Linked DNA regions of Macaca mulatta. The protein of the gene in region 5 binds, or shares a complex with, the protein of the main gene of each other region. Links are inferred from orthologs where the notes say so. Each region holds a gene or a part of one and is shown on either strand. Other genes may lie near its edges.

Region 1 (5,589 bases), on a different chromosome or scaffold from region 5:
GCCTGGGCAACACAGCAAGACCTTGTCTTTACAAATAATAAAAAAAATGGGGCACATGTCATCAGGCCCTCCTGAGTCTGTGTCACAGAAAAAAAGAAAACTAAAGGGAAAAAAAGCGAAGACAGACCAACCAAAAATTAACCAGACGTGGGCATGGTGGCTTATGCCTGCGGTCCCAGCTACTTGGGAGGCTGAAGTGGGAGGATCACTTGAATGCAGGAGGTCAAGGCTACAGTGAGCTGTGATTGCACCACTGCATTCCAGCCTGGGCAACTGAGCGAGACCCCATCGTAAAAAAAAAAAAAAAAAAAAAAAGGCCGGGCGCAGTGGCTCAAGCCTGTAATCCCAGCACTTTGGGAGGCCGAGACGGGCGGATCACGAGGTCAGGAGATCGAGACCATCTTGGCTAACACAGTGAAACCCCGTCTCTACTAAAAAATACAAAAAAATAGCCGGGCGAGGTGGCGGGCGCCTGTAGTCCCAGCGACTTCGGAGGCGGAGGCAGGAGAATGGCGCAAACCCGGGAGGCGGAGCTTGCAATGAGCCGAGATCCGGCCACTGCACTCCAGCCTGGGCGACAGCGCGAGACTCCCTCTCAAAAAAAAAAAAAAAAAAAAAAAGGAAAAGAAATAGAATATTTCCAGCTCTCCAGAAGCCCCCTCCTGTCTCCTTCCCAATTCCAGCTCCTTCCTCTGCCATAGAGGTGACTACTGTCCCGACTTTTATCATTTCCTTGCTATAATTCATAGTTGTACAATTCCATGTTTGCATCTCCAAAAACTTTAATTTTGCCTGGTATTAGAACTTTATATTGATAGGCTCATACAGACTGTATTCTATCACATGGCTTTTTTCATTCAACATTGTTTCGGGGCTAGGCATAGTGGCTCAAGCTTGTAATCCCAGCACTTTGGGAGGCCAAGGTGGAGGGATTGCTTGAGCCAAGGAATTTGAGCCCAGCCTGGGCAACATGATGAAACCCCATCCTATAAAAAAATGCAAAAAAACAAAACCAAACAAACAAACAAAAAAAGCATTGTTTTGGGAGACTCATCCATTTTGTTGTGAGAAGCTATAGTTAATTCATATTTATTCCTGCTTAATAATCCATTATGTTAGACTGAGCCATATCGAATTGCCTTTTTCTGAAACCAAAAAAAAAAAAAATAGTTAAATATCAGCAATTTTGTACTTCAGCTACTAAGAGTGTATCGCAGTTTTAAAATATTAATTCTCCTGTTAATGGACTGTGGGATGCCTCTATTTTGGACTGTTATATATACTTTCTATAAATGTATCTACTGATGTATACATGCATGCATTTTGCTAGGGTAAATTCTTAGGAAGGCCTGGGCACGGTGGCTCACGCCTGTAATCCCAGCACTGTGGGAGGCCAAGGCCAGTGATCACTTGAGTTTGGGAGTTCAAGACCAGCCTGGCCAACATGGCAAAACCCCATCTCTACTAAAAACACAAAAATTAGCTGGGCATGGTAGTGTGTGCCCGTAGTCTGAGCTACTTTAGAGGCTGAGGCACGAGAATTGCTTGAACCCAGGAGGTGGAAGTTGCAGTGAGCCGAGATTGTGCCACTGCACTCCTGCCTGGGTGACAGAGAGAGACTCTGGCTCAAAAAATAAATGAATAAATAAATTCTTAGGAGTATGTTGCTGGGACTTCCATGTAGAATAAAACTGAATTTGGATCCCTGCCTCACCTCACACCATGGTAAAAAAAAAATCAACTGGATTAAAGGCTTCAATGTCGGCCGGGCGCAGTGGCTCACGCCTGTAATCCCAGCACTTTGGGAGGCCGAGGCGGGCGGATCACAAGGTCAGGAGATCGAAACCACAGTGAAACCCCGTCTCTACTAAAAATACAAAAAATTAGCCGGGCGAGGTGGTGGGCGCCTGTAGTCCCAGCTACTCAGGAGACTGAGGCAGGAGAATGGCGTGAACGCGGGAGGCGGAGCTTGCAGTGAGCCGAGATCATGCCACTGCACTCTAGCCTGGGCTACAGAGCGAGACTCCGTCTCAAAAAAAAAAAAAAAAAAAAAGGCTTCAATGTCAAATGCAAAACTTCACAGTTGGAGAAAAGTAATGGAGAGGAGGATTTATTTTAAAAAGATAGCAGACAGCCAGGCCTGGTGGCTCATGCCTGTAATCCCAGATACTTGGGAGGCTGAGGCAGGAGAATATCACTTGAGGCCAAGAGTTTGAGACCAGCCTAGTCAACATAACAAGACTCATCTCTACCAAAAAAAAAAAAAAAAAGAAGAAAGAAAAAGATAATAGACCTGCCCCTTTCTGCCAGCATTTTCTTTCTTTTTTCCTTTCTTTCTTTTTTTTTTTTTTTGAGGTAGAACTTTACTCTTGTCGCCCAGGTTGGAGTGCAGTGGCGTGATCTCGGCTCACTGCAACCTCCGCCTCCTGGATTCAAGTGATTCTCCTGCCTCAGCCTCCCGAGTAACTGGGATTACAGGCATGCGCCACCACACCTGGGTAATTTTGTATTTTTAGCAGACACGGGGTTTCACCATGTTGGTCAGGCTGATCTCAAACTTCTGACCTCAGGTGATCCACCTGCCTCAGCCTCCCAAAGTGTTGAGATTACAGGCACAAGCCACTGTGCAAGGCCATTTTTCCTTTCTGTTTTCTTTCTCTCTTTCTCTCTCTTTCGTCTCGCTCTGTCACCCAGGCTGGAGTGCAGTAGCATGATCTCGGCTCACTACAACCTCTGCCTCCTGGGTTCAAGTGATTATCCTGCCTCAGCCTCCTGAGTAGCTGGCATTACGGGCGTGCGCCACCACGCCCAGCTAATTTTTTGTATTTTCAGTAGAGATGGGGTTTTGCCATGATGGCCAGGCTGGTCTTGAACTCCTGGCCTCAACTGATCTGCCTGCCTCGACTTCCTAAAGTGCCGGGATTACAGGCATGAGCCACCTTGCCTGGCCGCTGCCAGCATTTTCTGACTGGGCCCTCTCCCCCATTTCAGGTGAAGTCAGCACTGTGCTTAAGCTGGACAACACAGTGGTGGGGCAGACGTCTTGGAAGCCATGTGGCCCCAGTGCCTGGGACCAGAGCTTCACTCTGGAGCTGGAGAGGGTGAGCTGCGTTGGAGGACAACAGGGCCCGGAGGAGGAGGCGGCGTTCCATGCCTCTGGCACCCTGAGTGATGGCCCTCTTCCTCTCCCTGCAGGCACGGGAACTGGAGTTGGCTGTGTTCTGGCGGGACCAGCGGGGCCTGTGTGCCCTCAAATTCCTGAAGTTGGAGGATTTCTTGGACAATGAGAGGCATGAGGTGCAGCTGGACATGGAACCCCAGGGCTGCCTGGTGGCCGAGGTACAGCCCACCCCTGATCCTGAGAAAATGCTGCTTCTCCCTCACTCCCCCATTCCCAGTTTCCTAGAAGGGGAAAATCTGTTTTAGGTCTGGCTCTTCCAGAAGGGGAAGATACGATTTAGGTCAGGCTCTTCTAGAAGAGGAAAACACATTTTAGATCCAGCTCTTCTAGAAACAGAGGATATGTGTTAACTCTGCCTTTTCTAGAAGGAGAAGATATGTTTTAGGTCAGCCTCTTCTAGAAGGGGAAGAGATGTTTTAGATCTGCTTTTTTCTAGAAGGGAAAGATGTTTTAGATCAGGCTTTTCTAGAAAGGGAAGATAGGCTTTAGATCATACTCTTCTAGAAAGGGAAGATACGTTTTAGATTTGCCATTTCTGGAAGGGGAAGGCATGTTTTAGGTCAGGCTTTTCTAAAAGGGGGAGATATGTTTTAGATCTACCTCTTCTAGAAGGGGAAGATACATTTTAAATAGATATCTTGTAGAGGGAAAGGTATGTTTTTGATCAGGCTCTTCTAGAAAGGGAAGATAGGCTTTAGATCTGCCTGTTTTAGGCTGGGCGTAGTGGCTCATGCCTGTAATCCCAGCGCTTTGGAAGGCTGAGGCAGGTGGATCACCTGAGGTCAGGGAGACCAGCCTGGCCAACATGGTGAAACCATGTCTCAACTAAAAATACAAAATTAGCTGGGTGTGGTGGCGCATGCCTTTAGTCCCGGCTACTCGGGAGGCTGAGACAGGAGAATCGCTTGAACCCAGGAGGCAGAGGCTGCAGTGAGCTGAAATCCCACCACTGCACTCCAGCCTGGGCAACAGAGTGAGACTCCATCTCAAAAAAATAAAATAAAATAAAAGATCTGTCTGTTCTAGAAGGGGAAGGTACATTTTAGATCAGGCTCTTTTAGAAGCATAAGATATGTTTTAGATCTGGTTTCTCTTAGTACGGAAAGATAGTTTTAGATCAGGCTCTTTTAGAAGTGGCAGGTATGTTTTAGATCAGTGTATTCTAGAAGGGGAAGATACATTTTAGATCTGTCTCTGAACCTTGATAGAAAAGCACACCTTGGCCGGGTGCGGTGGCTCACACCTGTAATCCCAGCACTTTGGGAGGCCAAGGCAGGTGGATCACTTGAGGCCAGGAGTTCCAGGCTAGCCTGGTCAACATGGTGAAACCCCATCTCTATTACAAATACAAAAATTAGCTGGGCATGGTAGTGGGCACCTGTAATCCCAGCTACTCGGGAGGCTGAGGCAGGAGAATTGCTTGAACCCAGGAGACAGAGGTTGCAGTGAGCTGAGATCATGCCATTGCACCCCAGCCTGAGCAACAAGAGTGAGACTTTGTCTCAAAAAAAAAAAAAAAAAAAAAAGAAGAAGAAGAAGAAAAGAACTTCTAATTAGCCACATCAGTGATATAACCTTAGCTGGGATTGGTTTTGTTCTGAGGCAAGATATTTAAAAAAAAAAAAAAGAAGAAGAAGAAGAAGCTGATTTCCAAATTTAGAAATGTTTAAAGAAAAAAGGAAATAAATTATAAAATTTCATCCAGCCGGAAAAGTGATACAAAACCTGGCAACATATCGTGGTGATTGTTACCAGCCACAGTCAAGAGAAAGCGATTCCTTCCACAGCCGTGTGAGGGTGAAGGTCTGAATTGGGGTGGCCTCCCCTTGGCATTGTTGACATCTGGGGCCACATCATCCTCTGTGGTGGGGCTGTCCTGTGCACTGGAGAATGTTTAGCAGCACCTCTGCCCACTGCTTACAGGATGGCAGTAGCACCGGCTCCCCCTAAGGTTTGGCAGCCCAGAGGTCTCCAGACATTGTTTAGTGCTCCATGGCTGGGAACCCCTGGTCCGAATGACATTTCTAGCTGAGTTCGCCTAGCATAAGCCAGACTCTGTAGCGAGTGCTTTGGCGACGTGAACTTTTTAATTCTCACAACCAACTAGCAAAAGAGGGACTGTTATTACTCAAATTTGACAGAGGAGGAAACTAGGGCACAGAGAAGGAAAGTGACCTGACCCCTCATTTAGCCAAATTATCCTAAAAAACTCTTAATCTTCCGCTGACCTATATGTGTACCCCATTTTACATATATACATAATAGATTACTTATATATGTATAAACACATATTATCTATTATTTACCCACCTACCTGTCCATCCATCCACTCTGTCTGTCTGTCTATGCATTCATCCATCCATCTTTTTTTTTTTTTTTTTTGAGACGGAGTCTCGCTCTGTCGCCCA
Region 2 (5,589 bases), on a different chromosome or scaffold from region 5:
AGATGTCCTTCATTTAGAAACAGGTATCTTGTGCTCATTAAGTGTTTATACAAGCAGACTAAACCCGTCATTGGGATCTGGAGTTTCTCATGAGTATGCTCAGGTCTCAGAACTGCTGTGGGATGATTAATAAGGGATTGCTGCAAAAAGAAGACAGATTTGATGGGTTTTTCAACTTATGAGGAATTTTTCCAACTCATAAAAGTAAACTGAAGCCTCTTTCTTGGCAAGGCAAGCTACTCAGTAAGAAGAAAAACTTCATAATGCATTATCTAGACTATAAAAGCAAAAAACTGAGAGCCTTCCCTAGAGATAAGTAAAAGGAGTATACATCCATGGACACTGGAATACAGATAAGAAACAAGAATCCAAAACTTTTTAAAGGATACGGTCTGTGCCAGGAAACAATGTTCTTCCAGTCAACAGCTCGGCCATTATGCATCCCACTGACCAAATATCAACTGGCAAAATTAAAGAGAAATAAAAGTACATGCAATGTCACTGTTACTATTCTTGGCAACAATGGCAACAAATGAAACCGTAACTAGGGGTGAAATATTCAAATTACTATTTAAGACATCTGAGGCTCAACAATCATAGTCATTTTTACAGAAATAAATAGCTTACTAAGATCACCTGACTAAAGGGCTATTCAAAGGTGTGGTAAGTCAAAACATACTTAAGAGAAATAAGCTGTTTAAAAAGGGGTAAGTTTCGTATTAGCAGAATGGTAGATTCTTCTAAGTAACATTGAGGGGTTAAAATTATGGATTCATTGTCTTTAGGTATAAGTACTCAGAGAATATATTAAAATCTAAATAAATAAAAACCCAATTGCTAAATCACAAGATTTAAAGGCTGTGTATAAAACCCCACTTCCCCATCTGAGGAAGTGAAATATTTTTACTTGTAGGCTTTAAAAGGATCACTGAGGGAAGAAAAGATATTTCTTCCCACTCCCACCATCTCTACTTCTGAGAATCCCAAATGCATCCAACATGGAATTAAATAAGGCCCTAAATAACCAAGGCAAGTAATACCTGTCTGGTTGTAATGCATCCAGTTCAGCATGATCTCAGGAGCCCTGTACCACCTAGTGGCCACGTAGCCTGTCATTTCATCATCTGTGTGCCGAGCCAGTCCAAAATCCAGAATCTAAAGGGCAGAAGAGGAACAGACAAACTGCTAAGACTGAGAGACAGGGGAAACAAACAAACAAACAAACAAACAAACAAACTTCTGCCACCTTATTAAAAAGGAGAACAAAATAGCACTTTCATAAAGAGATTTCCTGGTCCATGCTTAGAATGTATGGGAAATATACAGCAAGAACTTAAACTGAAATTACAAAAAGCAAAACAAAAACCTAGGTATTTAATCAAGTGCAATGAGAACTTATGTCCACACAAAGGTTTGCACATAAATGTTTACAGTTGCTTTACATAGCCTCAAACTCAAGCAAATGTCCATCAGCAGGTGGACAGATTTAAAAATTCTGATATGTTCATAAAACAAAATACTATTACCAATAAAAAGGAAGAAACCACTGACACACACAATACTGAATCATTACACAAAGCAAAGGTCAGACACACAAAAATACACACTATATGATTCCATTTACATGAAACTCCAGAAAAGATAAACCTAATCTATAGTGTTAGAAGCAGATGCATAGTTGCGTGGAGTCAGAATTAGGGGTGGAGGGATAGGGATTGACTAGACTAGGAAGGGACACAATAAACTTTTTCTTTTTCTTTTCTTTTTTTTTTTTTTTGAGACAGGAGTCTCACTCTGTCACCCAGGCTGGGGTGCAGTGGCGCAATTTCGGCTCACTGCAAGCTCTGCCTTCCTGGGTCTATGCCATTCTCCTGCCTCAGCCTCCTGAGTAGCTGTGACTCCAGGTGCCTGCCACCACGCCAAGCTAAATTTTTATATTTTTAGCGGAGATGAGGTTTCACCGTGTTGGCCAAGATGGTCTCTATCTCCTGACCTCATGATCCACCCACCTCGGCCTCCCAAAGTGCTGGGATTACATGCATGAACCACTGCGCCTGGCCATAAACTTTTGAAAGTAATCCAAATGTTCTTCGCTGGGAGCAGTGGCTCACACCTGTAATCCCAGCACTCTCAGAGGCCGAGGCAGGTGGATCACGAGGTCAGGAGATCGACACCATCCTAGCCAACATGGTGAAATACCATCTCCACTAAAAATACAAAAATTAGCCAGGCGTGATGGCATGCACCTGTAATCCCAACTACTCAGGAGGCTGAGGTAGGAGAATTGCTTGAACCCGGGAGGCAGAGGGTGCAGTGAGCCAAGATCTCACCACTGCACTCTAGACCGCAACAGAGCGAGACTGCATCTCAAAAAAAAAAAAAAGAAAAAAAAAAGAAATGTTCTTTATCATAAATGTGATAGTTAAGTGGATACATAATTTTGCCAAAATGAAAATGGTGCGTTCTAATGTATGGAAATTTTTTTTTTTTTAAGTTAAAAAAAATGAAATGGAACAAAATAAGTTCTAGAGCTGCTTGCTCTTTAGAAAAAATTAATTCACTTATCTTTTATTTGAATTATTTTGAGTGAGTGGGTTTCTGTCATTTCTCCTCTTAGAAATGTATTTAATGTAGTTATCACCTCTTTAGGACCACTTACTTGATATTTGACTATTATCTTCCTTTATTATGAATATATTAAATTTATAATTTAACTTTATGTTAAAATAAAAACAAGTGATGCCACTTTCAATGTCACTTAGCTTACTCAGAAATGGTTTACATTTCAAAGTCTGGTAATAAAAATAATATGAATTTCGGATAGTCACGGCTCATAAATCTACTCCCTATGAAAGTTTGCCTGCTTAGTCAAACATACAATCTCAAAGTAAAGCAAACAATGAATACTGTCTCTTCATTTTACCTTCAGCTCACAGTCTTCATTCACAGCTAGATTACTAGGTTTTAGGTCCTAGGAAGCAAATACAGGGAAGACAGGATCAACTTCATGATGCATGATCAATTTTCCCCCTACAGGTAATAATGAGGATCCAGACATAAAAGACTTCATCCAGCTATCAAAACATAATCTCCATCCTACAGTCAATGTCTAGTCCAAGTTAGCTTTACATAGAACAAAACTACACAACTTCTTTCTTTAATCAGCCTAAACCTAGAGTAAAGTTGCAATCAATCAACATTTCAATGGCTAAAGTAAGTTTAGATTAGGATCTTGGCTAAATCCCATTCTTCCACTCTCACCCCACTTCCCCAAAATAATGTAATCAAAGTCATAATACATACCCTGTGAATTATGTCGGCTGAATGTATATACTGCAAAAAAGAAAAAAAGTCAGTTACCTCCAACCTTCTATTGTCACATTATATAACATATTTGCTGCACATTTTCATGAATCAGTAAGAACTGCTAGTGTTAACAGTAAGATTAGAAATCAGCGTAAGTAACTATCAGTATTGTGTACATTTACCATAACTATAATTTCCACAGCCATTGACTCCACTCAGTTGAGCTTTTTATCTATTTTCTGGTTGGTACTCTAGAGCTCAATAAGGACTCAAAGCAGCTAAATATCAAAGATGGTTTAATTTTAAAACACTGTTTACCTGCCCCTCCAACAAATAAATTAGTCTTTCTTGAGGATTTTTTGAAAATCTCAACATTACACTGACCAGATATTAGATCACATCAATAAATTATTGTTTAGATGTAAGAATGAAGAGTCCTTATCTTTCAGATGTGCATACTGAAGTATCTATGGGTGGTATTATATAATGTCTAGACTTGCTTTAAAATAATCCAGGGCTTGGGAAATACAAAAGAAACATGATTGGCCATATGTCGGTAACTGTTGTCACTGAGTGAACATGGCAGTTTATTGTACTATGACCTTTACTTGTGATTTTATGTGTTTGAATTTTCCGTAAGAAAAGTTGTTTACTTGTTTAAGCCCTAAAAGGAGGGGAGAAAGGCAGAATTATTTTTTTAAAATTATTACTTATATTATCTGTACCTTTAGACCTCGGAGAATTTGGTAGATAAGGAACTGAACATGGTCATCTGTAAGCTTCTGACATTTCACAATGTTGTTCAGATCTGCCCCCATGAGATGGGTCACCAGATACCTAGAAATTAGTGAAAAGTTACATAACAATCTAGAACCCCTAAGAAAACTCTTATCTTCACAAGACTTTTATAAGTTTTCTGTTTTTTTTGTTTTTGTTTTTGTTTTTGTTTTGAGACGGAGTCTCACTCTGTTGCTAGACTGGAGTGCAATGGCGCAATCTCGGCTCACTGCACTCCACCTCCATCCCAGGTTCAAGCGATTCTCCTGCCTCAGCCTCCCGAGTAGCTGGAACTCCAGGTGCCCACCAACACACCCAGCTAATTTTTGTATTTTTAGTGGAGACAAGGTTTCACCGTGTTGGCCAAGATGGTCTCGATCTCCTGACCTCATAATTCTCCCACCTCAGCCTCCCAAAGTGCTGGGATTACAGGCATGAGCCACTGCACCCGGCCCGACTTTTCTAAGTTTTTAAGGGAAGGCCACCCTTCCCTTAAAATGGTAGCTGTACCACGATGACAGCTAAAAGTTAATAACTACTCGTTTTTTGAGGGGAGGGGCACCTCATTACCTCATTTTCAACATTGCTATTCTTTTACTTTTCTTTTTTTAGAGACAGGGTCATGCTCTGTCATGCAGTGGAGCAATCATAGTAACTCACTGCAACCTCAAATTCCTGGGCTCAAGCGATCCTCCTACTTCAGCCTCCCGAGTAGCTAGGACTAAAGGTGTGCACCACCACGCACAGCTAATTTTTAAAAATTTTTCTGTAGAGATGGGGTCTCACTATGTTGCTCAGGCTGGGCTCTAACTCTTGGTCTCAGGTGATCCTCCCAATTCAGCCTCCCAACATTACTGTTCTAACGTTAACTACCTGCCATCTATTCTAAACATTTACATACTTATTCCTACTTGACATAACCTTTTTCAGGTTATTTCAAGAGAAAAGAAAACAGGCCAAGCTTTGTGGCTCACACCTGTAATCTTAACACTCTGGGAGGCTGAGGCAGGAGTTTGAGATCAGCCTGGGCAACATAGGGAAACCCCATCTCTACAAAAAATAAAATAATAATAATAATAATAATAATAAAAGCAAAAGTAGGGATTAGAAAGATACATGTGTCAGTATCAGTTTTCTTAAAAATATTATTCTTGCATGACAAAATATACAGTATAACTTAGTGCATGGCTATAATTAAGTATCTTGTAGTTTTAAATCCACCAGTACATTTTCACCTTATTATAAGCCTTCCACGTTGTAGGTTCTAAAATAGGAGTATTTTTTGATTTTCTTTTTTTTTTTTTTTTTCTTTTTGAGACGGAGTCTCACTCTGTCGCCCAGGCTGGAGTGCAGTGGCCGGATCTCAGCTCACTGCAAGCTCCGCCTCCCGGGTTTACGCCATTCTCCTGCCTCAGCCTCTCGAGTAGCTGGGACTACAGTAGGCGCCCACCCCCTCGCCCGGCTAGTTTTTTTTTTTGTATTTTTTAGTAGAGACGGCGTTTCACC
Region 3 (6,182 bases), on a different chromosome or scaffold from region 5:
AGCAAGTGTGGAATGGAACTGTCTACATCCAGACAGGCAGGGTCCCCGTTCCCAGTCTGCAGATGATGAAATGGAGGCTTCTCCTCTGAGAGCTGGGCCATGCCCAGGGGACAGAAATCTTTTACGGAGTGCAGAGAGTGGACCGGATGCAACTTGTGCCACGTCACATCGCAAAAGGGACAGAGCTGGGGTATGAACCCAGGCAGTCAGGCTCTGGAAACTGAGGTCTCAGCCTCTCCACATCACCATCTTCCAGGAGCTCAGGTCGGGTCCCACCCCAGCCGACCCTGCACAACCTCTGCTCCTCGCCCTCCCTGAGTCCCAGATGCACAGCTGAACCTGAGGTGTCCCCTGGACCAAGGGTAGTAAACAGTCACCGCCACCTGCTCCTGCTCTGTGAGCAAGAGGAAGCAGAGCCCCTTGCCTAACAGAGGAAGTTCCTGGGTGGGGCACAGAGGGCCTGCCCAGGGGTTCCCAGCCTAGTCCGAGGCGCAGGAAGGGGCCACCTCCAGTGCTCCAGCTCAGGGCTAGGTGCCACCTGCAGGACACGTAACCCCCTCCCCACCCACCAGGCCAGCAGGCATCGCCCCTTTAAGCTGTAGGCAGCCGGCTGGCATGCCCAGCAGGTGAGTCAGCACTCAGTGCCCGCTGACTCACCGCCGGAAGCCTCCGCTGCCCCGGCCTTCTCCTCACACAGGCCAACTGAGAACTTTGCTCCCTTTGGGCCCTGGGCCATGGGTTGGCTGACAGAGAGTTTCCTGTGCGTCACAAGAGGGGTGGGGGAAGTCCCCGAGGTGCCACCTCCAGTCTTTCCGACAGCCGGGGGATGGGGGATGGCCACAATAGGCAGGGCTAGGATACGACAGTGCTCCATGAAACCTCAGTGACCCCACTGGGCAGTCAGGAGTCCTACAGCCACAGTCCAAGCTGTGTGAAGATTAGCCATGAAGTGCCCCCACAGGTGGCACTCTTAGGGCAGAAGGGGCAGAACCCACGTTCTGAATGACAACAGGACACACATGGTACCCTCCAAGGACAAATGTGGCTTGCACACATGCCCCCACCCACTGGCCCCAGCGCCGGCCACTTGGCCTCTGATCCCAGCCAGAGATGGCCATGTGGGCAAGAAGGCCAGGGGAAAACCAACAGAGCTGTGGGCCTGAGGGCCTCACACGCTCACGGAAAACTCCCCAGGCCCATGGCAGGAAGGATAGGGCAGGGTACCTGCTGCAAGGCAGGAAGCTCAAAGGTAAAGCTCCAGTAAGGTCAAGCGCCAGCCACTCCCTGCTTTGTTCAAATTCCTTTGAGAAGGTGGAGAAGGGCTCAGTGCTGGGAGGCCCAGTGCCCAGGATGGGGCAGGCACGGGGTGAGGATCTCCACCTGTGGGAGCAGTCCGGCTACTCCATCCAAGCTCAGTTCTGCATCTGTCAAATGAGTGGGATTTTGCAGCAAGTATGCAACAGGCCCAGTGTAAAGCACTGTGCACAAGAGCAGCAGCACCTCTGCCTCAGTCTGTCCTCTAGGTCTGACATGGCCATGAGGACAGGCCCACTGCACATGCTCTGAGCAAGGCCAGGGGTGGGGGCACCCCACCAGCTCAGCTCAGGCATCCAGCATGGGAGGGGCACATAAGGGAGCACGGGGAAGGCCACTGTGGGGATGCAGTCCTAGGGGGAACCCTAGCTCCGCCTGTCACAGCTGCGTGGCCTCAGGCAAGGCACTTAACGCCTCAGTTTCCTTATCTATAAATGAGGCTATGAGGAATAAATGAGAAAATGCATGGCACATGGAAAAAAAGAAGAAGCTCATAGGGTTTTTGGTGAAGGGCATTGCGGCTCTGTCACCACATCCTTCCCCAGATCCCAAAGAGACTACAGGGTCGCTGGGCCTGAGGGAGGTCCCTGACCCTCCATCCAGCTCCCTCAATTTCATCTGCGACCTGGGTCCCTATCTAGAAGTTCATCTTGGCCCTCTCACAGCGTTCTTACCACATCTATGACCCCTCTCCCTTCACAACTCTGCAACTGGAACTTTTATTTTGATCAGGCATTCTCTGCCTGGAGAGCTAAAAAGCCTCCAAAACAAACAGGGCTTCCTACCCTTCCCCAGGCTCTCCAGAGTGGAGAAGTGTCTGATTTCCTGGTTCCCAAGCTCCACGAGGTCTGGGCAGTGCAAGTCCCTCCCCAGACACCTCCCCCCTCAAGTGCCTCCTGAGTTACTCACAGTGGTTGGGCAATGGTCAGGGATCCGGCCTCCCACTTATGTAAGGCATAATTATCCTGCCCACCCGGCTCCAGCCACCACAGCAGCCAGCAGCAGGGGCCAGGAAGAGCCCGTGCCCTCCCCAAGCCCCCACAGGGCTCCCACTGGCCTGCGCCCTCCAGAGCAGAAGAGCGGCTGATCCCCGATGAGGGGCCCACTAGGTGCCCGCTGCTAGATGCTTCCTCCTGCTCACTCTGCGGCTGCAGTTCCAGCAGTGGAGGCCTTTCCAGCAAGAAGAATGGAAACAATAGCGAGATGTGTGCAGCCAGTGTCCCCTGGTGAGCGCCGGCTCTCCGCCAGGCGCTATGCTGAGTGAACACCTCAGAGCTCTTTTGTATTCACCACCCCACGCCACACTCCCGCGTCCACAGAAGCAGGTGTGATTACTTCCAATTTACAGAAAAGGAAACTGAGGCCCAGAGACACCAGGGAGCTTGCTGGGGTGAAGCAGCTGCAGGTTCAGCTAGGCAGGAGGCAGCCCATTCATTACGGCTACGTCCGGTTTGGAAATCTCTCACACAACCCAGCCTACTGAAACTCCGACGCACCAAAAACATCCTTTCCTCTTCCTGAAAAAAAAATTCCCCTTTTGCCCTCCGAGTCTCATCCTTCCCCCTCCGCATGACAAATCCTGCTGCTGCTGCCACCTCACAAAAATTTCCAGGAAGGCCAGCTACTTGGAGAAGAGCAAATCCCTTGCACAGCCAGCACCCTGGCCTGGCGGTTGGCCCAGATCCCAGGCAGCCAGGAGAGGAATAAGATGGGGTGAGAACCCCAAGTGCAGGGAGAAGCTTGCAACTCAAGACAGAGAGAAGCCAGTAGAGAGGGGGCTGTACCTTAGGGAGGGGTGGGAGGACAAGGGAGGTTCCTGGGAGCACAGGGCTGCAGGACAGGGTGCAGGCCAGCCAGGGAAGGGGCAACATAGGGCCTATAAGGATAAGAAGAGCTGGAGGAGAGAAGGACGGGGAGTTCCGAGCTGGGGTGTAGCCAGAGCACCCGCATAGCGGGTACAGTGAGGTCCGAAACAACAGAAGCACTCTGGGGCCCAGATGGAGACTTAAGTTAAATCCCAGCCTGGATACAGCCCTGGGACCCCAAGTTGGAAATGGGAGTGGGTGCTGCCCAAGGACGCAGATGGAGGCCAGTGTGAATCTCACCTGGGTCCCTCTGAGGGAGAAGACTGAGAGAGTTCCTGTCCAGGCTACAGCCATAAGGCCCAAATGAGGTCAGAGTGAGGCTCCTGACTTGGATGGGGTGAGCAGAACAAAGTCCTAGTCTGGGTCCAGCCTGGGTGATCTCGGGCCTGAATGCAGTCCCAAGGCCTAACCTGGGGGTCCAGGTGAGGACCCAGGCTGCGGCCGGTCCCGGGGCCCCGAACAGGAAGGGGTTCCGGGACCGGACGCCGCTGCCAGGTCGAGAACAGGATGGGGTGGGACCAAAGAAATTCGGTCGGGGTTTGCAGCCCGGCCCCAGATTGGGCGCGGGGTCAGGCCGAGGTTCCGGCCGGGATCGCCTACCTTTGGACTGGGGCATGCTGGCGGGCTGGCTTGAGGCGGGCGACTCCATGCTGCAAGCGGGTCCTGGACGGCGGTGGGGACTAATCTAGAGGACTGCGGGCTCCACCGGGGCCGAGCACGCTCATGGCTGCGGGCAGACGGCCCGGGCCAGGCGGAGGAGCAGAGGCGGCGGCGGCGACTACTGCAAGGACGAGTCCGCGACGGGCGGCGCCGGAGCCAGACTGGGCAGCGCCGGGGGGACCCCGGCCGAACGGCGCTGACTCAGGCCCCGCCCCTGCGTGTCCGATTGGCCCTTTCGTTTCCAAGGCCCGTCCCCTGCCTATCAGACGCCGGTCTGTCCCTGCCTGTCAATTACACGCCCCACCCTCCGTGGGCCCAGGATCCGGGCCCCTCCCGCTCTCTGTCAAGTCTGCCAGCCGCCCGAAAAACCCAAGTCCGGTCAGGCTCCGCCCACCTGGACTAAAGCCGCGCCCCTCGCGCTGCCCGTCAACACGCAAGCCCCACCCACTCCCGGGACCCACTGAGCCCGCTGCTCCTTGCAAGCGCCAGGCTCCGCCCAGCACCCCCAGACGCGCAGCCCCGGCGGGTGCGATGAGTGGGCGCGTTCTCCCGGGTGCGTCGTCTGGAAAAAACCCGAGATCCCTAAAGGTGGCACGGCTGGGCCTGGCGAGGCGGGCGGGGGTTAAAAGTGCGCTGCTGGGCTGCCTCCTGGCTCTCTGAACCTGCAGCTGCCTCACCCCAGCAAGCTCCCTGGTGTCTCTGGGCTTCAGTTTCCTTTTCTGTAAATTTGACCCGGGTTCAGATCCGAGTCGGCAACTTTGTAGCGGAACTAGCCTTGGTCAGGTCGTGACACCTGAGCCTCAGTCTACGCATCTGTGAGCGGGCGGCGGTGACAGCCGTCTGACGGCGCTGCTCGCTGACACGCACTGAGGGCCCGGCGCCAGCAAACGTCCGCCCGCGCCCGCGCTCCAGGCGCCCGGCCAGGGCGCGGGGTTGGTGGTGAGCTCAGCGATGCCCGGTGACGAGGCAACACGAGGAGTTGTCGTGGCTGGTTGTTGCTGCCCCTGTTCTACACCGGGGGAAACTGTCTCAGAGGGAGTGAGGCAGCATGCGGTGCATTTTATCCCACGAGCCCGGAGGCCCCATCCTGGCTCTCTCCTGGACCTTGGTTCTCTCCTCTCCTCCTAAGATCTCAGTCTGCCCATCTGTATAATGGCTGGATGGACCAGTCCTCTCTTTGCTCCCACACGGAACCTTGGGGGATTTCAGGAACCGCTGACCAATCTGGCGCTGGGATCAGATGACTCTGGATGTAAAGTCAGTGCTAGTGAAGGCAGAAGGTACCAGGCAAAGGTCAAGGGGTCAGCCCCTGGCCTCCAGGCAGACATGAGTGTGTACCCTGTCAGGGACCTCACGTGAGGGAAGCAGATTCCACCACCTGCTAGAAACGCTTGAGGCCGGGCCTGACCTCTGCTTGCCCAGGTGTAAAGTGGGGGTGATGCAGGGCCCCATGCACACAGAGTGGGGAGGGCCACATGAGATAGGAGGGAAGCCTTGCAGCCATCACCATTCTCTTCCTGCGTCTCCTGTTCACAGGCAGTGGGATGGAAAATCATGAGTCTGGGGCTCAGACAGGTGTGAGTTCCAATACCAATTCCTCCACTTACTAGCTGGATGTCCTTAAAGAAGTCACTGAGCAGCTCTGTGCCTCAGTTTACCTATCCCATGGGGACAAGAAGGTCTCTGAAAGCATTTCATGAGTTCAGGAGTGGGAACACCTGGCCTAGGGCCTGGCCCTCACTAAGTGCCCGGGAAATGTGAGTTCAAAAACACTGTTGGCTGCCTCCATCCTGGCCGTATCATCCCTGGTGACCTGCGCTTATCCATCCATAAAATGGGCATCCAGTAGCAGTTTCCTTTCTACCAGAACTGAAAGGCTGGTCCAGCAAGTTTTCTGGATTCAGGCACCGGCCAACAGCCTTGACTTCTGCTCCCCGACACTCTGCCTTGTGCACTCTGCTCCTTGGGATGTTCAAGAGTCTTAGTGTTGCCCCTCAAATGTGCCAGTGATGGTCCTGCTGCAGGAGCTTCACCCTTGCTGCTTCCACCCAGAACATTCCTCCACTCAAGCCTCCTGGGGCTGGTTCCCTCTCATCCCTCAGACTGCCTCCTAAATGAACACGCCTAAGAAGCCTTCCCATCAGTTTGGGGACCTTCCCTTCCCAGGTCCCCAAACTGAGGCACAACACTCATGCTGCTGATGCCTTTGTCACTGACTCAGTTTTTAACACAGCTCTCCCTCCAGACCATCTGCGCCTCATTCCCTGCTGTGTTCCCAATACACAGCCCAGAACCAGGTACATAGTAGGTGCCTGATAAATATTTGAGGAATGAAAAAAGGAA
Region 4 (5,589 bases), on a different chromosome or scaffold from region 5:
GCAGCAAGATCCTGCCAAAAAAAAAAAAAAAAAAAAAAGGCATAAATGATTAATTTAAAAAAAGGCCAGAATAACTGCTCCTTTTGGAGGGAGGGAGGTATGATGGGGACAGGGCACGTGGACGAAGGCACTTCAGGGTGTCTGGCCACATTTAATTTCTTGATGTGGGTAGTGGTTAAAAGGATATTCACCTGATTATTTACTATAGTGAAGTATTTGTTTTGGGTAATTTTCTGCATTTGTGCGGCTTTATTTTAACGTAAAAAAGTAAAAACTGGCAGATAATATTAGAGTGTAAACCACTCTGGGAGGAGATGAAGGGAGGCAATGTTGAATGTTAATTACCCTCATTTATTGCACTTTTCATTAAAGGTCCTCCTTTGAGAGCGTCTTCTGTGTTGGAGCGGAAGAGAACTCTAGGGCTATGTGTCGGGGAGCAATCCTCTGGGAGGGGGGTGCTGCACTCAGCCATGTCCCGGAAAATCATCTCCTTCTCTTCCAACAAGAGTAGGATTTGTTGGTCCTTCTGTTGAAGTTGTTCTGCAGGATGGAGAAAATGATCTGTGATTTGATTGGCGTTTAGTATTACGAGATGACTAAGACATGAGCACCACCTTGTGGTAATTTATGGAAAGGGACAAGACAGGACACCCCACCCACTGCCCTTTCTTTTTCATCATGACAGCAATATTGTTTCTGTTCTGTGATTTCTATCTGGAAAACCATTCTGGATCTTTCTGGCGAGGAAATTGTGACATAACAAGTTTGCACTTTGCTTCCACTCCCTTGTCCCCTGTTTACTTCTCAGCCCACTACTCTCTAGCTTCTGTCCACTCTGCAACTGGTTTCCCAGCTCAACTTCACGATTGAATCCAATGAGGTCTTTTAGGTTGTTTTTTTCAGCATTGATGATTACTTCCTCCTTTAAAACATGTTTCCTTCTTTAACTTAGGACACTGGTTCTCTTCCTACCATTCTTTCTCAGGACACTTTACTGATCTGCCATCTGCAATGGAATCTCTTATCTGGGCTCCTGGCTTCTGTCTCAGCTCCATCCTGAGAGCTGTCTTCTTCTTTTTTTTTTTTTGAGACAGAGTTTCGCTCTTGTTGCCCAGATTGGAGTGCAATGGCACACTCTCGGCTCACTGCAACCTCCACCTCCTGGGTTCAAGCAATTAAGCGATTCTCCTGCCTCAGCCTCCTGAGGAGCTGAGATTACAGGCATGTGCCATCACCCCTGGCTAATTCTGTATTTTTAGTAGAGATGGGGTTTCACCATGTTGGCCAGGCTGGTCTCAAACTCCCAACCTCAGGTGATCTGCCTGCCTTGGCCTCCCAAAGTGCTGTGATTACAGGTGTGAGCCACTGCACCTGGTCTGAGCTGTCTTCTTTACCTTACCCACTTTCCTCTTGAGGATCTCATTCATCCCCATGGCTTCAATTACCTTCTATATGCTGATAATTCATTAAAAAAAAAAAATCAAAAGTCCTCCCTTTCTTAGCAGCAGACCATGGGGCCCAAGTGGCCACCTCTACTGAGATGCTTTGTTCTCAGCATGTGAGAAACCAATCTTTTCTCTAGCCCATCACCTCCTCCCTTTAGTGTGGAATCTCTTTCTCAGTCAACAACTCTTCATCTTCCAGGTCACCTGATTTGGAAACCTGTGAGAAATTCTTTCTCCTCACTCTGTCCCACCACCAACTGACCAGACTTTTTTTTTTTGAGAGTCTCACTCAGTCACCCAGGGTGGAGTGCAGTGGCACTATCTCAGCTCACTGAAACCTCTGCCACCCGGGTTCAAGCGATTCTCCTGCCTCAGCCTCCCAAAGTAGCTGGGATTACAGGCACACACCACCACGTCCGGCTAATTTTTGTATTTTTAGCAGAGATGGGGTTTCGCCACGTTGGTCAGGCTGGTCTCCAACTCCTGACCCTTGTGATCTGCCCACTGCGGCCTCCCAAAGTGCTGGGATTACAGGCGTGAGCCACCAAGCCTGGCCAACTGACCAGATTTTAATGACCTTATTTCCTACTCACATCTGTTCCCTCTCCAGCTCATTTTCACTTAACCTATCCTAACAGTCTTCCAAATGGTCTTTCTACTCCCAGTCGCTTCCCATTCCCTCAAGCAACTCTCCTAACTAGCTTCAACATGTTTAAAAAAAAAATCTTTTTTTTTCCTTTTTTTAAAAAATTACATCAGTCCCTTGTTGCCTTTTTAATACCTGGTGCTTTTCCAGCTTAAGCTCCCATCCCTTAGCCCTGACCCTCCAAACACACCAAACCTGTCATTCCTTGGCAGACATGTCAAGTCCTTTTTCACCTTTGCACATAACTACTCTTGTGTGCTGAGATAATTTTTTTCAGATGTAACTCATGCACCAGCTTCTCTGTGAGACTTACTAGACGCAGGATGAGCAGATCCCACATATGTTAATCGTGCCTGTGGTCTAATAAATCACTGTGTGGCCCATCGTTGAGGTATGTCTCCCCTGCTAGGGTGTGAGCTGCTCAAGGGAAAGGGCTCTTTTTAAGGAATCTTTGCATCTGTTGTACCTAGCAGTATGCCTAGCCAGGTACTTAACAAAATTTAAAGAAGGAAGATTTTTATCCTTGTCATCCTAATCATGGGCCAATAAATCTGCTGTAACTCTGGCTCTGGTCTAAATCTGTCCATATTTTTAATTTTCCCCTCAGTGAGACTCAATGCTTTCATTTGTATGGCTTTAAGACCTAACCAAACTCCTTAGATGCTTACATTTATTTAACTCTAAGCCTTATTTTGACCCAAAGCATAGTCTTTACTTAGAAACATTCGATAAGCCACTGGCAAAGAGAAAAGAGCACCAGGCTTTGCTAAGACAGGGAACAGAATTCTGGCTTAACCATTAACTACACGTGTAACCCTGCGTAGCTTGTCCTTTGTGGGCCTCGACTGTCTCATCTGCACAACGGGGATTAGAATGCCTGTGTTGTAGGGACACTGACAAGACTACACAAAACAGTCAGCACTCAATAAACAGGGGTCAAACATAGATCGATACATACCCTTCTCCCAAAACTTCACCTCGCAACTCATTTGTGAACTGCAGATAAGTGATAACGCTAGGGACTGGTGGGAGGATTAAATCAGATTAACTGGAGAATTCTTTTCCCCAAATTCTCTCCTTGTTTTAATTTTAGATGTGACTACAAATTTTGGCAAATTCATCTGTGACAAAGTACAGAGAATGTCATGAGGTTTGAGAACACTGATCCTGAGTTAAGAGAATCAATATTCTCTTGATCCAGTATTGGACACATCCTTACAGTCATTCTTTACCAGGACCCATGTCAGCCTGGACTTGGTTTCTCTTTTGTTAACAGCTATTCGTTTCACTGCCTTCAAGTGCCTTCTGGGGCAGCTTTAGAACTGAGGGCAAACCCATCCTCTAAAATCCACCAGCAGTCTTCTGCAACTGCAGACATTCCAGACAAGGGGCTCGGACCACTCCCAATGCCTCACCTTTTAATTCTCGGGCTTTGGTGTCCAACATTTTCTTTTCTTCCTCATTCTCACTAGGAATTCCTTCATCTTCATCTCTGTTCCTAATACAACCCAAACAAGACAGAACAAAAAGTTCCTAAGATGTCGATTACTCTGGTCACAGTACAGCCTATTATGGAAACACACAGAGACATCAGGAGGGCTGGGAAGGGTGGGGCCTGGTGGTTAACTTACAGGGTGTTGATTGTGTCCTGAATGATCTGAATCCAGCTGTTTCGTTCCTCTTTGGAGCTGGCATGGACTTCTACCATCTCTGGATCTTTCATCCCCATGCTGATCAGGAATAAACCTCTCTCCTCGTGTGCCACTTCTCTCACAATCAGTTTCTTTAAAGAGATCACTGTTGACTTCTGGTCCTGGAAAAAGGGAAGAGGGCAAATAAAAGATACATATACAATATTCTAACTCTTAAGGACAGCTTAAATCTAAGGTAAGACTAGATGCTGTTAAAAAAGCACACAGTTTGAAAAACAATGGCTGCTTTAGGATAAAGAGAAATATCTCATTTCATTCAGATTTTAACAAAGATTTTTCAAAAGGGAAATAGTAATTTATGGCTCTAAAGGTTCCAGTCATGTTTTCTACATGATGAATCTTTCCAGGTTCCCCAAAGAATCCAGTCAGCAATATTATACATGAGCATCATTTATGGGCTCACATGTGAGAAATACTCCAGTGACAGGTTTCTTCATAGGTCAAATAGTCAGATGTCCAAGACACTAAAAGAAGACTGTGATGAAACAGAATAATAATTTTTGGGGAAGAGGGGATGCCAGAAAATTGTGAGGGCGTGTGGGAAATTACTCAGAGGAATTTGTCCTGAGCCATTTAATTTTAAGAGGGCTGGGGAGAGCAATAATATAGTGCTTACATTCCATAACTAACCTAGATGCTTATAATGCTATTACAAAAATAACAATTCAGCTTACCAATGAGGCAAAGATGTACTTCTGGTCTTTTTCTTGAAGGAAAACTAAAATGTCAGTGAGAAGAACTGCTTGAACCTCTGGAAAATGGAAATGGGAGAAGGGAAGATAGAACAATGACTACTTAATAGTTACCACAGTCAGAAGGGTTTTTATTGAAGGTGCAGTACATATACCCCCATAAGGGCAAACTATGATCTGAGATCACACTCCTCCAAAGCAACAGTTTTACAGTTCTCCAGGATTCACATCTGGTCACCAGATTTTTAGCAGCATTTTAAAATGGGATTTATCACCAAAGCCTTGTTTTGGAAAAGTTTAAGTACTCAGTCCTAGAAAGATATATCCCATAAGACAAGAGTTTAAGAATAAAATACTTTTAAGAATAAAGCTGAAAAGCTGGACTTGTACAGATGTTAAACAGCAACACAGAGCAGGATACTCCAAAAAATACTCAGGTTGCAATATTTTTTGACTTCTGATTACAGTAATGGGAAAGGTGTGGGGCAGGAGACAGCAATGCTGCCCAAATATGAAGTATAGAAATATCTAAGTCTAATGAAAAGATGTCTGTCTTCCACACCCTCAAAAGAACAAAGAGTGGCCACACAGGCACCTTCTAGTCTTACAGGTACATGTGAATATAGGGCTCTTTCCTCAGGTCCATATGCAATAGTCAACTTAAACTCTTGCTCTGACTAATCCTCTAGGAGTAGGTAGTAACATTTTCCACTAGTCTCTTGAGGATGGTTTGATGTCTCTGGAGTTGAGTCTATATCGAGCTGGCAGGCTGGCCCCTATGTAACATCTTCACTGTGGAAAGTGAAGTCCACGATTCCCTGGGAAAGGATGGAACTGACTTATACAGTCCATGCCCCACCTTTTCTTCTACCTTTGCTGCAACTGGAATCCCCTTTCTGTGGAATTCACTGCAAAGCTATGAAGAAAACAGAAGCAAGGACATCTGATTCCTAGGGAGGTCTAATTTTTTTAGGCTAAACTACTGCAATTTTCTGTGTACTGCCATCAGTTATGAAAAAGTTTTTTTTTTTTTTAAGTTTACTTTTAAATAATTCAGGTGCCTGCACCCTCTCCTTCCCCCCAAATAAGTGAGA
Region 5 (6,111 bases):
TGCACCATTCTGGCTTCAGAATCTGAGCCCCTGGCCACCACACACTTCCTCTCGGCAGAAGTGGTATGTTGGCCAGGCAAAGCGGTTCATGCCTGCAATCCCAACCGTTTGGGAGGCCAAGGCGGGAGGATTGCTTAAAACCAGGAGCTGGAGACCAGCCTGGGCAACATAGCAACAGCCCATCTCTAAAAGAAAAAAAAAAAAAAAAAAAAGCTGTGCATGGTGGTACAGCACCCATAGTCCCAGCTACTCAGAGACCAGAAGATCATGAGTGCAGGAATTCAAGGCTACAGTGAGCTATGATTGTGCCACTGCATTCTAGCCTGGGTAACAGAGTGAGACTTCAAAAAGGAAAAGAAGGGAAGGGAAGGAAGAGGAGAGGAGGGGAGGAGAGGGGAGAGGAGGGGAGGAGAGGGGAGGGGAGGGGAGGGGAGGGGAGGGGAGGAGAGGGGAGGGGAGGGGAGGGGAGGGGAGGGGAGGAGAGGGAAGGGGAGGGGAGGGGAGGGGAGGAGAGGGAAGGGGAGGGGAGGAGAGGGGAAGGGAGGGGAGGGGAGGGGAGGGGAGGAGAGGGGAGGGGAGGGGAGGAGAGGGGAAGGGAGGAGAGGGGAGGGGAGGAGAGGGGAGGGGAGGGAAAAAGAAAGAAGGAAAGAAAGTTGTATGTTGCCTGCCAAGAGTCAAGAGCAAATTTTACCTGCCTGGCTACCTTTTTAGGGGAAATCCCACAGACCAAGTTACCCCACAGGCTGACTTCATGAGGACAAATCAGTCTTGGTGACTAAGCACCCCTTTCCTGGGAACTCTGTGATGTATGCAGGAGTGCCTCACCCTCTGGGACGGTGTGAAGATTGGCAGCCTGATTTCGTCACATTCGTACTGGCTGACGAAACCCCGCTCTCGTGCCAGGTCCAGCACGCCCTCCACATGGCTGTGGAGCCTCCTGACAATGGCTGGCCGGTGACTCTGCAGGTCTTGGGCTGGGTGGAGCGAGTGGGGGTCCCAGCAGCCATGCAGCTTGGGGGATTGGCTGTCGGCCTGGGCTTCCTGGGCAGCAGCGACAAGTTTCTGACAGGCCCAAGTACCCTTATTCCAGACGGTGTCCAGGAGGCGCCTGGCCAAGTGGGAGAGAGGCTGGCCCAGGAGGTGGATGCCCTCGTAGTCTTCCCAGGAGAGGACCTCCCAGGACAGCAGCCAGTCCAGGACACTCTCGAAGCCCTCCAGGGACCCTGAGACCAGCAGCTCCACCAGCTGACTCCTCTGTGCCTGAAAAGCCTCCTGCGAGCACATTTCACAACCTGGGGAGGAGAACAAGGTCAGTGCAGGACTTCTCCAGAAGCCAGACGCGGGGTGGCTGGGGAAGGCCAGGGCAAGTCAGCCCCAGCAGAACCCGAGTTGGCCATGGTTCTAGCCTCAGACATTACCCAATCCAAGCTCCCCACCATACAGATGTGAAAATTGAGACCCAGAGAAGGCAAGAAACACCTCAAGGTCCCACAGAGAGTTTGAAGCAACCAAGAATTAAATCAAGACCCCTAACTCCCACATCCATGCTTGGTCTCCGGCTTAAAACATTTAAAAAGGCTTGAGGTAATATGAGGAGCAAGAGATCTCCCAAGGTCACTTGAGATCAGGAGTTCCAGACCAGCCTGGCCAACACGGTAAAACCCTTTCTCTACTAAAAATACAAAAATTAGCCAGGCGTGGTGTGGGCACCTGTAATCCCAGCTACTCAGGAGGCTGAGGTAGGAGAATCACTTGAACCCGGGAGGCAGAGGTTGCAGGCTGCACTCCAGCCTGGGCAACAGAGCAAGACCCTGTCTCAAAAAAATAATAATAAAAATGTAAAAAGTAGAGAGAGAGAAAGAGAGATCTTCCGAGCAGTCAGGGAATTCATTCTCTTCAAAGCAGGGTGAGAGGGGCTCCACACTGGCCGGATTCACGCTACAGCAGTTTCAGTAATGGCTAATATTAATTAAGCATAAACAACACACCAGGCGCCATTCTAAGTGCTCTCCTGCGTGAATTCACTGAACCCTCCCAGCCACTCTGAAGTAGTGCCTATGATCTGCCCATTTTACAGAGGAAGACACTGAGGCACCGAGAGGCTCAGCGATTTGTACGACATGTCACAGCTAGACAGGCAGAGTCAGGATTTCAACACAAGCCGTGTGCAACTCCAGAATGCATGTCTCTAACTCTTACATTTGGGTTCCCCACGGGGGCCCCAAGCCCTTGCTGTGTGTTTTGCACACTGCTACTCCAAGGGGTACACTCAGAGTATTGTTCTAAAGGTCCTATCCTAGGCTAAGTGAAAAATTACGGTGCAAACTAAGTTGTTTCCAAGCGTTCTCGTGCCTTGTCCCCCATCAACACTTCCCCCACACACTTGCCCTAGGGCCCTCACCTCCCTCCCACGCCCTCGAAACCACCGTGCACAGACTGCTGCTGCTGCTACCGTTAGCCACCTGCTGTGGGTTCTGGGAATTTGAGGGCAAGTAACCCTCCAGGAGCTTCAAGCCCTGGGAGGATCTCTGAGCAGCTGAGAAAATCTCTCAGCATGGTTAGTTCTGCGATTGTCGTGGGGTCTGTGGACAAGGGCTGGTGCAGTGCCTCGAAGAAACGAAAGTGAAAGGGTGTAGGCATGGACAACAAAGAGAGCCGTCGGCTTCTTTTTATAAATCAGGGACATTCCCAGCCACTCGAGGGAGTAGACGCCAAGCGGCCTGGGGATTTTGCCTCTTTGCTGATGGTTGTTTATGTGTCTCTCTCCCTGCCTGGGTCACGTGGAAGCCTGGGTCTTACTCGTCCTAGCATCCCTGAGCCTGGCACGGCACTGTCCCCCGCAGAGACACCGTGGAAATGTTCATGAATCAAATATCCCCTGGGCTGGGGGTGGGAGGAACACTGTAACCATCCTCATACGGCAGCCAAGGTAAGCAAAAGGAAAAACCTCCAATCTCTCAGAACGCTGCTGGGGCACAGGAGGCCCTGTGCTGGTCAGATGGGGAAACGGAGGCAATGAGGTTATGTGTGTGTCTGGCTGCTTGGGAGAGAGAGTGTCCCCCCCCTGCACAGGCCACTGGAATCCAGGAACTAAGGTAGTTCTCTCAGGCCAAGGAGGTCTCCTCCCCGTGCTCACCTCTAAGCAGAGGAGCCAAGAGGGTGGGGTGGCGGGGGACGGGGGAAGAGAGGACCAAAAGGGGGTAGAATAAGCTCTGGGCTTGGCCCTGGAGTGGTTCTCAGCTGTGGAAACATCAGCCAAGGACGCGACAGCAGCCCCCACCATCACCCCTGCCAGGGTCCTGGGGAAAATAACCACCCACCCACTCTCCCCAGAAAACAGCCCAGAGCCACAGTCAGCACTCCCCATCTCACCCCAGGCCTGGGAGCATGCGCGCAGCCAGGGATGAAAGAAGGCTGAGAGTCAAGCTGAGACAGGACAATGCCTGCTCCTCTTACCCAGAAAATGTCCAAGGAGGACACTTGCTCTTTCCTCCTCATCGGGAGAGACTGGACCACCCCCTCTTCCCCCATCAAAGCCCATTAGGCTTGGGGAGCAGGCATGGCATCTGTGGGTGGGCCTTGTGCAAAACACCAAAAGCCCAGCGGCACAGGACTGGTGAGCCTGGATCTGTCTACCAACCCCACCTTCAAGGGAAATTCCCAAAGGAAAAGCCAGAGGCCAGAGTTGGCCAACCAGCCTTCCAGAACTAGGTAATTCCAGGCAATTCTAGCACAAAGCCTTGTGCATCCTGGAGACCATGACCCTCCCTGAAAAACCCCACTGGGGACATGAGACACATTCACGAGGGGACAGGCCACAAGTAAGTAGGGGCCCCTCCCTAGCACACCAAGCCTAGGGCAGCCTGGCCTACGTGTGAGCCATACACACCCCGGCTAGTGACGTCGGGCTTCTGTGGGCACCAGGAAGGGGAGGGCCGCCCAAGTCACGTGACTCGGAGCTCTGTCCTCCCAGCAGCTGCATCACCGCACCTCTGCCCTGGCCTTCTTCCAGAAACCTCAGAGCAAAGAGAATCCTGAGGGCCAATTCAGCCAGTCCCCTGTCTCTGAGCAGGCATTGTCCTGTCTCATATTAAACATCCGGAGAGGAGGGCCTGGCCTTAGTGCTGTCCTCACTAACCAGCTCAGGAAGCTCACCAGCTTGGGAATTTATTCATTATGTCTAGCTAGCTTCAGTTTCTCCTGCTTCAGTTTAACTTGGGAAAGAGACAGAAAAAATATTCACTCATTATCTGTTTCCTAAAAATTGTCCTTCACATCCTTCCTCTTACCCCTTTATTACCTGATCGGGCTTCCCCTCTTCAGGCAAAATCTATTAGTCTATCTGCATTGCCTTTTGATCTCTACTTCAGTTACTACAACTTCAAAGACACCATTGTCCTCCCCAAGGTGAGGCCCATGTAGAGAAAGGAGCACTTCCTTGCTGAAAGAGAGGGTCAAGGAGCGACCCACAAGGGCCCTCCCTGAAACCCAGGCCCAGGTCTGAGCCTGGACAGCTCCTTCCTTCCTGAGACCACAGCCAACCTGGTTTCTCTGGGGCCAAGAGCAAATGCTTTGCTTAAGTGCTGAAATCTCAGCCCACTGACCCCTTGCAGACAGGAGAGGAAGGGAAGCCCAGGGAAGCGCAACTTCCCAAGTATCCCGGGTCTCTGCTGGGGCCAAGCGCCCCCACCCTCCCCCAGCCATCCTGCATTCTCCCTCCCCGGCACTGAACTTCTCTTCCTAAGAGACCAATTCCCCCCACCAGTGCACAATGCACTATATTCTCCATTGTAAAGGTAAAGCCCTCTCTTGACACCCACCTTCTTCATTTGGCTCCAATCCCATTTATCTGCTCCCCTTTATAGCAGACCCCCTTGTCTATTGCCTGTACTGCTGTCCCCAAGTCCTCCCATCCCCTCCCTCACCCTCAAGTTCCCCATCCAGCTCCAGTGAAACTGTCACCAGTGACCTCCCGTTGCTCAATCCTCAGCCCTCAGCCTGCTTGCTCTGCCAGGGGCATTGGTCATATTTGTTCCCTCCTTCCTCTTTGGGGCATTTTCCTCATTTCCTCCAGGGCACCCCAACTCTCTGATTTTCACTCTTTCTGTCTTCTTGGCTGGTTCCTAACACTGGGGGCCTCAGCACCCCTTCTCTTCTCCATATCACTCCCTCCCTAGATGAGACCACCTGCTCTTGTGGCTTTAAATACCAGCTATATGGTGATAATGCCCAAAGTTTTATTTCCAACTCCAACCTCCGCCCTTAACTTTTCCCAACTGCTTACTCATCATTGATGCCTAATGGACAGCTCAGACTCCACAAGCACAAAACCAAACTCTCAATCTCCCCTAAGCAACTCCCATTTCAGTTCATGGCAGCTTCAAACCTCCAGAAGCTCGAGCCAAAACCTCAGAATCATATTTGACTCTACCTTTCTCTTACACCCCAAATCCTATCGACACAGCCTTTGAAATATATCTCAAATCTGAATGTCTTGTTTTTTAAATTATTATTTTAACTACCTCTGGGCCATGGTGCAAGCCACCATGGTCTCTCCCCAGAATGACAGCAATGATCCTCTCACCAGGCTCTCCTTCTGCCCTTACCTCACTCCCCACGACCCATTCTCCACCCCACAGCGAGGTGGGCCTGCCAGACCCCAAGTCAGAGCAGGGGACTCCTCTGTTCCAAACCAGTGCTCCCATCATGCTCAGAGTGAAAACCAAAGCCTCCCAGCCCCCCAGATACTCACGTGGCTCACCCCTCAACTCCTTATGACTTTGCCCAGCTCTCCTGGTCTTGGGGAAGCCTTCCCTGGCTGTGCTATATACAATGCAATACCCAGCCCCAGCACCCCATCCTGCTTCCCAGTTTTGTTTTACTCATAGCACTTCCCACCACCTGCCATGCCGTGTATTTACTTATTTCATTGCTGTCCATTCCTTTCTAGAATGTGCACTCCATGAGGGCAGGGAGTTTTGTCTGGTTTTCCTATTGCTCTGTCTTGTGTCTCATCCAGTGCATGAATGATGATCGCCGGAATGAATGAAAGAATGGACGTGCTCTGCGTGGCTCCGGGAGACAGAGGTGGAACCAAGGTGTAGAATCTGC

What was found.
Region 1: NOD2 (region 5) and PKN1 share a complex: the UniProt entries of both Homo sapiens proteins name them as parts of the signaling complex. The link is inferred for Macaca mulatta from reciprocal best matches to the Homo sapiens genes NOD2 and PKN1.
Region 2: NOD2 (region 5) and MAPK14 share a complex: the UniProt entries of both Homo sapiens proteins name them as parts of the signaling complex. The link is inferred for Macaca mulatta from reciprocal best matches to the Homo sapiens genes NOD2 and MAPK14.
Region 3: NOD2 (region 5) and MAP2K3 share a complex: the UniProt entries of both Homo sapiens proteins name them as parts of the signaling complex. The link is inferred for Macaca mulatta from reciprocal best matches to the Homo sapiens genes NOD2 and MAP2K3.
Region 4: NOD2 (region 5) and AKAP13 share a complex: the UniProt entries of both Homo sapiens proteins name them as parts of the signaling complex. The link is inferred for Macaca mulatta from reciprocal best matches to the Homo sapiens genes NOD2 and AKAP13.

The regions. Positions count from the first base shown.
Region 1 is NC_133424.1:15,065,912-15,071,500, forward strand, and holds part of PKN1 (serine/threonine-protein kinase N1), read left to right. Parts: intron 1-2,991; coding exon 2,992-3,101; intron 3,102-3,195; coding exon 3,196-3,339; intron 3,340-5,589. UniProt on the Homo sapiens protein: PKC-related serine/threonine-protein kinase involved in various processes such as regulation of the intermediate filaments of the actin cytoskeleton, cell migration, tumor cell invasion and transcription regulation.
Region 2 is NC_133409.1:146,179,786-146,185,374, forward strand, and holds part of MAPK14 (mitogen-activated protein kinase 14), read right to left. Parts: intron 4,144-5,589; coding exon 4,032-4,143; intron 3,334-4,031; coding exon 3,304-3,333; intron 2,972-3,303; coding exon 2,924-2,971; intron 1,156-2,923; coding exon 1,041-1,155; intron 462-1,040; coding exon 390-461; intron 1-389. UniProt on the Homo sapiens protein: Serine/threonine kinase which acts as an essential component of the MAP kinase signal transduction pathway.
Region 3 is NC_133421.1:22,178,964-22,185,145, reverse strand, and holds the start of MAP2K3 (dual specificity mitogen-activated protein kinase kinase 3), read right to left. Parts: upstream 3,950-6,182; 5' UTR 3,829-3,949; coding exon 3,780-3,828; intron 1-3,779. UniProt on the Homo sapiens protein: Dual specificity kinase. Is activated by cytokines and environmental stress in vivo. Catalyzes the concomitant phosphorylation of a threonine and a tyrosine residue in the MAP kinase p38.
Region 4 is NC_133412.1:75,522,659-75,528,247, reverse strand, and holds part of AKAP13 (A-kinase anchor protein 13), read right to left. Parts: intron 4,555-5,589; coding exon 4,478-4,554; intron 3,905-4,477; coding exon 3,723-3,904; intron 3,590-3,722; coding exon 3,507-3,589; intron 541-3,506; coding exon 346-540; intron 1-345. UniProt on the Homo sapiens protein: Scaffold protein that plays an important role in assembling signaling complexes downstream of several types of G protein-coupled receptors.
Region 5 is NC_133425.1:46,147,915-46,154,025, reverse strand, and holds the start of NOD2 (nucleotide-binding oligomerization domain-containing protein 2), read right to left. Parts: upstream 3,828-6,111; 5' UTR 3,542-3,827; coding exon 3,457-3,541; intron 2,930-3,456; exon of another isoform or gene 2,796-2,929; intron 1,293-2,795; coding exon 826-1,292; intron 1-825. UniProt on the Homo sapiens protein: Pattern recognition receptor (PRR) that detects bacterial peptidoglycan fragments and other danger signals and plays an important role in gastrointestinal immunity.